Linked DNA regions of Rhinolophus ferrumequinum. The protein of the gene in region 3 binds, or shares a complex with, the protein of the main gene of each other region. Links are inferred from orthologs where the notes say so. Each region holds a gene or a part of one and is shown on either strand. Other genes may lie near its edges. The genes, in order: TMEM231, TMEM107 and B9D2.

Region 1 (3,747 bases), about 17 Mb from region 3:
GCCATTTCTAGGTTGCCTTCAAAATAAGGGCATCGACTACTCGACTCCATTCTGAGTACATATTCTGAGCATAAACCTCACACTATGTTTTTGATGCAAACAACAACTTTGATATGAACCATGATAAAAAAAACAACAACTTTGATGTAATCCATGATAAAAAAAAAAAAAAAGGAAAGAAAGGAAGAAAGAAAGAAAAAAATTCTATGCCATGTTCGAAATACTGGTTTGGAGTGAGGGCAGGAGGGCACAATTAAGTGATAAGCCAATGTTATCTTTGGGGAAGACCATAGCTTCCCCTAAAACCGATTGCAGAGCTTGTACCCAATACAGGGTAACAAAGTATAGCAGAGCTGTGTAGTAATTATCCTTTATCCCACGAAGAACCGGGAGATTTGTGTCCTGTTTCTGTGTCTGTCCTGCTATGGAGTATAGTGAAAGCAACAGAAAATTTGGAAACAAAGGGACCTGGGTTTGGTCTTAGCCCAGGACCAAGTGCAAGACCACCAGCACATGTATGTTATGTGTTTTCCTCCCGTGTAGGTGTGCTGGTTGGTTGGACTTACGAATGAACGACATTGGTTCATGGTTAATGAATGACACATAGCAGGTATTTACTTTGAGTCAACTTCTATGAAAATCTTATATTTTACACAAATGTTAACACGGGCGACAGCTACGATTTTGGTGCACAGAAACACTTCATCTCAGCCTTTGGGAAAGCGCGCGTAGCGCACAAAGCGAAGTGGACCAACCCAGAGGGCCCGCCCCCCGTTAGCCCCACCCCTACCAAGGCCCTTGCTATTGGTTCCTTTTCCTGCGCCGTCGGTTGCCGTAGAGACCAAGGCTATGGCAACCAGGAGAAGCCAAACTTGGTAGTCCCTCGGCGACTGCAGAGGGTCCGAAGCGTGCGGCCACACTCCGCGCGGCGCTCATGGCGCTCTACGAGCTCTTCTCTCACCCAGCCGAGCGCGGCTACCGCGCGGGGCTCTGCTCCAAGGCCGCGCTGTTCCTGCTGCTGGCCACCGCGCTTACGTACATCCCGCCGCTGCTAGTGGCCTTCCGGAGCCACGGTGAGCCTGCCCCCGGCCGATGCGCGACACAGCTCCCGGCGGCCCCGCTGCGCCCGCGCGGGCCTGCCTGACCTCCTCCCCACCGTCCTCTCGCCCTCTTTACCTCAGGGTTTTGGCTGAAGCGGAGCAACTACGAGGAGCAGCCGACCGTGCGCTTCCAGCACCAGGTCCTGCTCGTGGTCCTGCTGGGACCGGAGCGCGGCGGGTTCCTCGCCTGGAGCACGTTCCCCGCCTTCAACCGGCTGCAGGGGGATCACCTGCGTGTCCCGCTCGTTTCGGTGCGTGGTTCCTGCTCGGGCCTAGCTGTGCACCCGGACTGGGTGGGGGGTCAGGCTGGGTGGGGGAGGAGGCTAGAGGCCCGGCCCCGGGCGAGCCCAGCTTTGGGGTTCGGGAACCCACGGTAAGTTGTGTACACAGGCTCAGTAGCCTGACATATGTTTGATTTCGTGGGAAGCAATTCTTGTTTCATTCGACTTCTCCAAGCTGCCCACACCCCAAGAAAATCAGCCACTGTTGTCAGCGTCTGCTTCCTGACACAGTCCAGAAGGCTGCGACAGCCAGTTTCTGACCCCCGTTATTTCCGTGGGTCTGGTCTGATAGAAAAGTGGTCGCGAAAGTCCCTTTATGAGTCATGAAGGGCGAGCGGTGTTCTTGTTACAACCCCATTGTGTGCACGGGGTAATTGTGCATCGAAACACGGTAGGAACGCAAAGCGCAGGCGCTGATTGGTGGAGCGACTTCCCAATGGCCCAGTCCCGCCACCCTGGGCTTGTCTCATTAGATGCTGCTCCATCCTGCAGCTGTCCAGGATGAAACTAAAGCATTTTACTGTCTGTAATTTAGTATTTGGTTCAGGATAAGGGAGTGCTTCCTTTACAAGCACTTCTTTCTGCTCATTTTTTGGAAAACATTTTCCTTTAGAAGTATGCAAATTCTGGTTTTCCTTCTTCCAAAGTTGAATCTCTTTAGACATCTCTGAGATGATTGGTCTACAAGCCAAACTTGTGTAGCTGGAAAAAAAAAAATTCAGACTTTTTTCCCAGCATCTAAAAATGAAAAAAAAAATTAATCTTATTGGTTATATGAATAACTACAAACAAAATATGAATCAGATTACTTTTTTCCAATTTAAAGTTTCTTACACTTTTCTGATTATAAAAATGTATACTCATTGTAAAATATTAGAGTGACAGATACATATAATGACATAAAATTAAAGGCTCAGTTTGGTACATGTATCAATACTTGTTAATCAACCTCATTCTTTTTAAGATCTGCAAGGTATTTCATGATATGGAAAAACTGTTCTCATTGGTGGGTATTGATTTATTTTTTCAGTATTAGAGAGAATGTTGCAGTGAATGAGATTTTGAATAAATCTCACACCTTTAAACATCAAATTGTGAGAAGTGCAATAGAAGCTGTTTGTTGAAATTGTGTAAGTACATAGAAAACTAAGCAAGCAAATAAAATAATTATTAACTCCAGAGAAATAAAAGTAAGGAAAGGAAAGGAAAAGTAATCAGTGTTGTGAATATGAGTTACATAGTCAAATGAGACTTTAACTCTCCTGGAGGATGGGGCGAGAGAGAGAGAGAGAGAGAGAGAGAGAGGAGTGAGGGGAGGAAAACTAAATATTCATCTCTGGAAATCAACAGGGAATGCCTGAAATGAAGTGAAAATATTTGCCATAGGGATGGAAGTCTGCTGGGAAGTCTACAACAATGTTGTAACACACATTGTTGAACTCTTTCATTCTTTAAATGATCAGTACTTTTAAATTGATTATTAAAACAGAACTGGAGTAGGAGACAAATTTCTTTCAATAGCTCTTCACTAATCATGACCTGTTGCCCATTTTTAATTCATATTTGAGATTATAATGCCTCTGAAGAAGGGTGCCTGGATGAGAGGCCAGTGCCCAGGTATGCTTACATTCCACATGTGTACGTTGCCTTTCCAAAAGTGTAAACAAAAGGTTTTTTATTCCAAACAAAAAATTTGTTAGTTTTACTTTAGGTTAGCATTCCCTGTCTTTTAAATTTTGAGTAGCAATTTTTTTCTTTAGATTGGTATATTCCTCTCTATCATACTCTTCTGGTTACTTGAGTCTAAGAAATCATCATGAAAACTTAAAATAATCATGAACACAAGGATATAACATTAGGTTTCACTCATTTGTCCTTTTCACTTGTTCATCCACCACAACTGGTTGACTCCCCAGTTGGACTGCTAGTTAGTCTATTATCTCTCTAACCAGAAACTACTCCCTTGAGAGCACTGCCCATGTTCCCTCTGCTTCTGGTATGTGTGTGCAGATGTTAAATCTGCAAAGCCAAGACTACCTCTTATTTTTATGGTGTCCGGAACTATTAATACTCTTTAATACTGGGCAGTTTTACACTAAAATACAAAACCAAAGCTTCTTTTTCTCAGTCTTTTTTTTTTTCTCCTCCACTCTAGGCCTATGTCTATAAGTAATTTATGACCTTGTCATCTATAGTCTTTCTCAAATAACTGATTTCCTTCCTTCTTCGCTGAGCTCAAGGATTTCTTATTCCATATGTTATACTCTTAACCCTTATTGCAACAAAATATTTTATTTTTCTAACTCTAAATATGAAGCTAGACTGATTACCGCCCATCTGAGAAACTGCCCAGGAAGCAATGGTTT
Region 2 (3,747 bases), on a different chromosome or scaffold from region 3:
AATGTTATTGGACTCTGAGCAATAATCACAGGTGAGAACTTTCCGTTCTTTAGGGATCCCCGTTGAGGCCCAAAGGTCAGTGAAGTCGCCGACAGTTAGAAGTTCTTGGACTGTAACTGGGCAAAGTCGGGTGTCCACACCTGAAAGATGTAAGGAAATCGAAGCAGTCTGCATCGCTGCCCTCTCCTCGCCTCCCAGGGACGCGGGTACCATTCCCTTCCTCCAATCCCTCCTAGTCGGCTCCGTAGTCCACTCCCTTCCCAAAAGACGCTTCTCATCCACATTCTAGTTCAAGAGAGCTGGCCATTTTCTGCACTCTGCAAATCTCTCGCCAAACTGAGCAAAGTTGTCTGAGGGGGAATCAGAATCAAGGAAGGTTCAGGTCTAGGGTCCTAGAACAACCAGGGGCTCCGTGACAATAAGTGACAGCTGGACAATCTAGGGATATCCACCTCTCCACGTTCGGCTTCCTTCGTCTCTTCGGGCCCAGGGCAGTGGGATGCTAGAGAGACGCGGAAGAGGAAAGGAGAGAAAGTGTCCATGCCTAAGGCATGGGGGTGCCCTAAGTCCCGCACGGCGGTGACAAGGGTCAGCAGCGAGTAACTCTTACGCGGAAGGTCATCCTGGGCTACGCAAGGGGGTGTGGGCCCGGGTCGCTCCTGAGGTAGGACATCGCGGAGGAACGGGTGTTCCCAGGCTAGGACAGGGCGGTTTTCCGTCCTCTGGACCCGCGTGGGAAAATTCGGCGGTGCGGGACCCAGTCACACAGCACAGTCTCAGGTGCAAACAGACGGCTCGGCTGCGCGTGGGGAGCTGGCGGGAGGCGGGCACCCTACTGCGACCACCCTCAGCTGACCCCAGACCCACGCTCTCCAGGAGGTCCACTGCGACTCGAGAATTTACTGATCTCGCGAGATTTTCAGAGATCCGGTCCTGGTGTCCGCCTCCGCGGTTGCTAAGGCAACTGGGCGGCGCCAGTGAAAGCGGGAAGACGGCGTACGTCGAATTTTTGCCTGCTAACCTGGGAGACTTTCAAGAGTGGCGCTGCCTGAGCTTCCAGCCTTAGAGACCACGGCCTCTGCTCCAGGAGGTGCCCTTACCCCTCGGAGCCATGGGCCGGATCTCGGGGCTCGTGCCCTCTCGCTTCCTGACGCTCCTGGCGCATCTGGTCGTCGTCATCACCTTATTCTGGTCCCGGGTAAGATCCACGGCCACCCTCCACCCAACCCCCATTCCCACGTCGGTGTGGTCCCAGCCCAACACCGCTCTATCCCCAGGGCCTGACCCGGTTGGGTCTTCCTATCCCCCGCTGCCCACCCCTCTTTCACTTCTCTTTCTCTGTGACCTGCTCAACAGGACAGCAACATCCAGGCCTGCCTGCCTCTCACGTTTACCCCTGAGGAGTATGAGAAGCAGGACATTCAGTGAGCACTTGGGGAGGGGTGGTCAGAATTAAGTAGTAGTTGGAGTGGAAGGGTCTTAGAAGAAGTCCAGAAGGCCTGAGCCAACCCCCTTCCTCTCTGCAGGCTGGTGGCAGCGCTGTCTGTCACCCTGGGCCTCTTTGCAGTGGAGCTGGCCGGTTTCTTCTCAGGAGTTTCCATGTTCAACAGTACCCAGAGCCTCATCTGTATCCTTTCTGCCTGCGTACCTTTCCCACAGGGGCCATTGCCATCGCTACTCCCTTCAGCCACCTAACTTTTTGGTACAATAGTGCCTGCCCTAGCAGGCAAACAGAATCTCTCCAGTTGAGAGATCTTCTTAGATAATTTAATACAATCTCTTGTGTAGCCTGGGGTAAATTGGGAACCCACTTCTACCTCATCTGAAGAGTCCAGGCTGGCCCCTAGATCTGGGATGGGGGCAGCCTGCGGTCCCAGCTGTGCAGGCTCAGCTCTAGCCTCTACTCACATGGCTGTCCTAAAACTCAGAAGGCAGGGCTACTGGCTCTGTGCCTTCGCAATTGGCGAGGGAGCAAGAAATGAACCAGACACAGATGCCAGCCCCACCACTGGCCTTTTCTGGTCCACCACTGCCTCTGGATCCAAAGACTTTCCTTGACTCAGGGGCGTTCCCAGCCATCGGGGCTCACTGTAGTGCGTCTGTGGCACTATCCTTTTTCATATTTGAGCGTTGGGAGTGCACCACATACTGGTACATTTTTGTCTTCTGCAGGTACAGTAACATCCAATGTTTGGGGATGGGATGGGGGAGGAAGGTTTACTGTAAATCTGAAGGTAGCCCCACCCAGCCCTTTACTCCATGTGTGAGATACCAGATCCACTCAAAGTCCTGTATTTAGTTTTTTGAAGTCCCGCTCCACCTATACTTTGGGGGTGGGGTCTCTGGTTCGGGGATTTTTATTGGAAGGGGCCCTGAACCCACCACCTTAACCTTCCATAGTGCCCTCCCAGCTGTCACTGAAATGGCATTATTCATCAGCGTCTTTGGGTTGAAAAAGAAACCTTTCTGATCACTTTCATGGGAGCCTAGGGAGGAAGGCTGGAGAAGCAAGGGACCATTGACCGTTCCTGGAAGGAGGAAAGCAAAATCTTCAACCTTCCCCCGTAAGACTGCATTTGGTGGAGGATTTTAAAGTAATTATCTGTCGAGTCTGGGATTATCAGCGTTTTATTTAATGATTTGTAATAAAACCTATTTTAGAGTAAGATCAAGGCTTACAAAAATTTCAGAGGAGAATTGGGGTAGCCAAACTACTAGAGAAACGGAAGGCTGTTTTCCTTGCAGATTGTATCGCTTTTTTGGTTATTACGGTAGACGCCGGGCAGAAGGGAGTGGGCGGAGATATGTAAATAAGTAATGCCAGCAGGACTGCAAGATCGTGGAGTGGAGCATTCTGGGGAAGTTAGTTTATCCCTTTTGGCAGCCAAATGGGGAAAAACCTGTATTTTAAAAAGATCTGCAAATAAATGTAGCAACAGAAATGTAAGAATATGAATATTTTAGGTAGCTCCGACTAACATGTTATATTCTCACCCTTGCTTATAGCGGAATCTTTTTTACTGAATATGGTAATGCCGTCAGAAGTTCCTTATCGTCAGGTAGGATAATCCTTACCTGTTCCTCTTCGGAGGACAGATTAGAATGTGATGATTGGAGTTCGCATGATTCGTGATTAACGTCTCTGCGTAATCAGGTCTTGCAACACCCTGATTGCTCCTATCTGATTCTTCCTGGCGATCATTTCTTTTACAATTGTAGTAGTTGGAGTTTACTGGTTGTAGGTTTTACTTAATGAGTGGTTTTGTTATCTCGTTGTTTTAGTTTGTGGAGTGTCTTTAGGCGGATTTGTTTGGAAGCTGCTAGTTCCGTTTTCTGACCTTGAGGCTCTACGTTAACATACAAGATTTTTCTTTCAATTTCTGGGCCAATTCAAGTGCCGAGTACTCCCAGTTTTTTTCTGGAGAAATCTTTGTCACCAGTAAATGTTTTTTGTTATCTCTGGGCTTTGCTATCAAACGATCGTTAATGTTGATCATACCACGTGGTGTCATAAATGGTCTTTTGTCAAACCTTCCACCTCACCATGGTGAGAAGGGCACGTGCTCAGGGAGAATTTCTCTGGTGGTTGGAGCTCCTACCCAGAAACCTGGCAAACCTGTTGTTCGCAGAGGAACACTCCACCTGTTAGCATCTGCCTGCTAGCACATGAAAAGAACATGTTTAAAAGAAAAATTATTAAAACACACACAAACTAAAAGCATTATACACACGAACTACAAGAGTCTA
Region 3 (3,747 bases):
TCTTTTATTATCATTATTATTATTATTGGAGAATATTGGGGAACAGTGTGTTTTTCCAGGATGTCAAGTCGTTGTTTTTTCAATCTAGTTGTGGAGGGCACAGCTCACTGGCCCATGTGGGACTTGAACCAGCGATCTTGGTGTTAGGAGGATGGCACGACAACCACTGAGCCAACCGGTCACCCACCAGCGGCTCAGTTCCAAGCTCAAGCCATTGTTTTCAATCTAGTTGTGGAGGGCACAGTTCATTGGCCCATGTGGGAATCAAACCGGCAACCCTGTTGTTAAGAGCTCGCGCTCTAACCAACTGAGCCACCTTGCCACCAACTGAGCCATCCGGCCGCCCCTGTGTTCATCTTTTGTTATTGGTATATATTATTGCAATTTTAATATTTTTTTCCTTTTTAAAATGTGTACACATTTTTTCGGCACCCTCTGTATAACCCCCATTTTACAGGCAAAGAAACAGACGCTGAGAAGGAAAGTCAGTTGTCCATTCATTCTACGCACATTTATTGAACACGTGCTGTGTGCCAAGCACTAATCCCCATGCTGGACGTAGAGCAGGACCGCAGCAGACCAAGGTCCCATGGTGTAGCAGGACTCAAACTGAGCTCTGTCTGACTGCAGAGCCCAAGCCCTTTATCCAACTGCCCCCAAGCTCTCTGCTGGATTCAATGCCCCCCACAACAACTCCTTGAAATAACAAAAACCTTATGAGTTGTTGCTCCCTCTGGGCTAGGGGAGGAAAGCACCAGGCCTTGAGTCAGGCTTTTCACATACAATACTTCCCAACACCCCTGTGAGGGACAAATATCCCACTTCACAATTGAGGAAACTGAGGCTCCAAAAGGGGAAAGCACCTGCTCAGGGTCACAGAGCAGGTGAATGGTGGGGCCCAGAATGGAAACCGAGTTTGACTCCAGAGCCTGCCTCTTCATCAGCTCTCCTGGAGAACCACAGTTTCCCAAGGAATCTCAACCACCACCCTGGCCACCAGTGGAATTGCAAAGGACCCAGGGCCGGAAGAGATGATGATGACAACAACCACATTCCTTTCACGGGCATTTATCTGTGTTGGGCAACATATCAAGGGCTTTACAAACAAGATTCCATCCAATTTTTACACAAGCCAGGCAGACACTGAGAACTTACTAGGCCAGGCCCTCTCCTAAGTGCCATTGTTATTCATTCAGTCCTCATAACCACCCCATAAGGTAGGTGGTTGTTATGCCCATGTACAATCAGGGAAAGTGTCAAGGTCACAAAATTAATAAGCAACAGCTGGTTTTGAACCTAGGCAGTCTGTGCTCTTAACTTCAATACTATGCTGCCTCTCAGTTGCTATTAGCTTCACTTTCAGACAAGCAAACTGAGGCTTGGTTAAGTCCAAAGGCCTCCAATTAATAGGTGGTGGAGTTAGTATTTGAGCCCAGATCTGGAGGTCCTAGCCAGGACACTATACCAGGCTCTACTGCCTCCCATGGGGAGGCATGAAAACTGGGCCCTTCAAGGTCCCTCCTGGGCCTTGTGGATGGACTTGGATGACTGCCAGAATGGGGTTCCTACCTTCTCACAGAGAATTATGAACACAGGAGGGTAGTCTCTCTGTAAATTTGGGATGGAAATTTCCATTTTACAGTAACTCAATAAATGGAGGCTGTTAAGCAAAGAATTAAGAGCGAGGAGGGTCCCAGGGCACCCCTGAGACAGTGAGTGAAGTAGGGTTAAGGCTGTCTGGTGTTCTGAGGATTGGAGTGTGTGTGTGTGTAGTCTAGCCTATAGTCCCATATCCTTAAGGGCTATGTGTTCAGAGGTGGGAGCCAGAGCCTCCAGAGATGGGCTGGGAAGGGATAAGAAGGGAGCCTGAAATTCACATGTACACAGTGTAGTCAGGGTTAGGAGTGCTGACAGCCGATGTAAGACAAGGAGTAGCGACAGGGCCAGTTGGTCAAGGAAAGAGGGTGGAACCTCTAGGCTGGGGGTCTTGGTGGGGAAATGAACCAGGCCCCGCGCAATACCTGTGTGCACGCCCCACTTGCAGAAGAGGCTATTTTCTGAGAAACCGGTGGCCCCCACGATCTGCCCAATCACGTGCGCCTCAGCCATGGCCCTGAGAGGAGAAAAATATAATCACAGCCCTGTTAAGGACACTGTTTCCACCTGACAGATAGGAAAAAGGCTCTCCAAATAAGGGGCAGTACTAGGATTCCAAGCTAGTTTCGTCAAACCACTGAGGCTGGGGTCTGAACCATGATCCTAATTGCCTTTCCAGGAGAGTCTCGAAAAAAATGAGGGCTGGGCTGAGGAACTGGCGTCTAATTCAGCCGGCCCCTAAAATAAACTCTTCCTCTTAGTGCAACGGAAAGCCCCGCCTCAAAGGTCAAGGCCCCGCCCACAAGCACAAAAGCTCCGCCTCCTAGTGTCGTCGGCTCCCCCCAGCTCCCTGACGCGCATGCGTTTTAAGTGCAGAACCACCAAAGCCCCGCCTCTAAGCATACGCATGCGCTATTCCTATTTCAGAACACCTAACGGTTAGGAGGGGTGAAAGCGGCAGCGGGGGTAAGAGTTCATGGGCCTGACCTGACCCTCTCTCCGCGGGCGCTGACTCCCAGGCCTAGTTCGCGCTTCTCCCAGGACCTTCCGGACAGCGAGAGATCCGAGGTGCCGAGCCTTTCGCCGTCGCGCCCGCCTTCGGCCTCCCTGGTTGTTACTAGGGCAACAGCAGCCTCCCTTCCTTGCCTTATTGGCCCTGCTGCCTGTGGGGGCGGGGCTAAGGTGTGATGGACGTTCTCTCCATTTTGGGAAAAGCGTCTCCCAGTCACAACGCAAGGTTCTGGCATTTGGGGCGTGGCCTAACAGCTGCCATCTTGAGTGTGGCTGAGGAAGTTTGAGCGCAAACTGTATTTCCCAGATAACTGTCTTAACAAAATAAACAAGTCCATCGATTCCCCATACCCCTCCAAACTCCTCTCCAGCGGGGACCACCAACCAGCGACTTGAGCCAGTGCCAAGGGGGACTCCCCCTCAGAAGAATGCACCCTTCTGCTTCATGACTGGAAAAAAAAAAATCCTTCCTCAAGTTGGGGAGGGGGTTTTCCTTCCTTTTTTAAAGTTCCCCAGGGTCCAAGGGACTGATAATCCAACTTCCCTCTCAGAAATACTGCCCAGTTCTGTTGTGCTGATTCTGAGCAAGGGGTGGGGTGTGGTGAAGTGGTAAAAATGAGGAACTGAGGCTCCTTTATCTGCAGAAAATCCGCTCTAGAAGACTGGACTCTGCCAAGTAACTTGTGTGACGTTGCACAGCTCTAAGGTTTCAGTTTTCTCATCCACGCAGTGGACACAAGGACAGTGACTGAGCCAGAGGCTCTCATTCTGATTTCCTGAGCAGTGCCTTTGCCGCTTTCTAAATAGAGTTTAACCATAGTGCTTTATTCCTCCAGCCCAGACCAGGAGTCCAAAGGGAACTTAGCTTCTTAGTCCCTTACTTTTTAGCAAAATGGGGCAACATTTCAATAGGACAATATTTATATAAGGGGCCGGCCCGGTGGCTCGATGGCTCAGGCGGTTGGAGCTTCGTGCTCCTAATGCCAAAGGCTGCGGGCTCGATTCCCACATGGGCCAGTGGGCTCTCACCCACAAGGTTGCCGATTCGATTCCTCGACTCCCACAAGGGATGGTGGGCTGCGCCCGTGCAACTAACAACAGCAACTGGACCTGGAGCTGAGCTGCGCCCTCCACAACTAA

Evidence for each region.
Region 1: B9D2 (region 3) and TMEM231 share a complex: the UniProt entries of both Homo sapiens proteins name them as parts of the tectonic-like complex. The link is inferred for Rhinolophus ferrumequinum from reciprocal best matches to the Homo sapiens genes B9D2 and TMEM231.
Region 2: B9D2 (region 3) and TMEM107 share a complex: the UniProt entries of both Homo sapiens proteins name them as parts of the tectonic-like complex. The link is inferred for Rhinolophus ferrumequinum from reciprocal best matches to the Homo sapiens genes B9D2 and TMEM107.

Annotation. Positions count from the first base shown.
Region 1 is NC_046298.1:22,920,067-22,923,813, reverse strand, and holds the start of TMEM231 (transmembrane protein 231), read left to right. Parts: upstream 1-934; coding exon 935-1,073; intron 1,074-1,181; coding exon 1,182-1,351; intron 1,352-3,747. UniProt on the Homo sapiens protein: Transmembrane component of the tectonic-like complex, a complex localized at the transition zone of primary cilia and acting as a barrier that prevents diffusion of transmembrane proteins between the cilia and plasma membranes.
Region 2 is NC_046304.1:10,817,871-10,821,617, forward strand, and holds TMEM107 (transmembrane protein 107), read left to right. Parts: upstream 1-944; 5' UTR 945-1,111; coding exon 1,112-1,198; intron 1,199-1,356; coding exon 1,357-1,424; intron 1,425-1,526; coding exon 1,527-1,627; intron 1,628-2,075; coding exon 2,076-2,172; intron 2,173-2,400; coding exon of another isoform or gene 2,401-2,470; exon of another isoform or gene 2,471-2,490; coding exon 2,491-2,593; 3' UTR 2,594-3,195; downstream 3,196-3,747. UniProt on the Homo sapiens protein: Plays a role in cilia formation and embryonic patterning. Requires for normal Sonic hedgehog (Shh) signaling in the neural tube and acts in combination with GLI2 and GLI3 to pattern ventral and intermediate neuronal cell types.
Region 3 is NC_046298.1:39,663,961-39,667,707, forward strand, and holds the start of B9D2 (B9 domain-containing protein 2), read right to left. Parts: upstream 2,928-3,747; 5' UTR 2,844-2,927; coding exon 2,584-2,843; intron 2,114-2,583; coding exon 2,022-2,113; intron 1-2,021. UniProt on the Homo sapiens protein: Component of the tectonic-like complex, a complex localized at the transition zone of primary cilia and acting as a barrier that prevents diffusion of transmembrane proteins between the cilia and plasma membranes.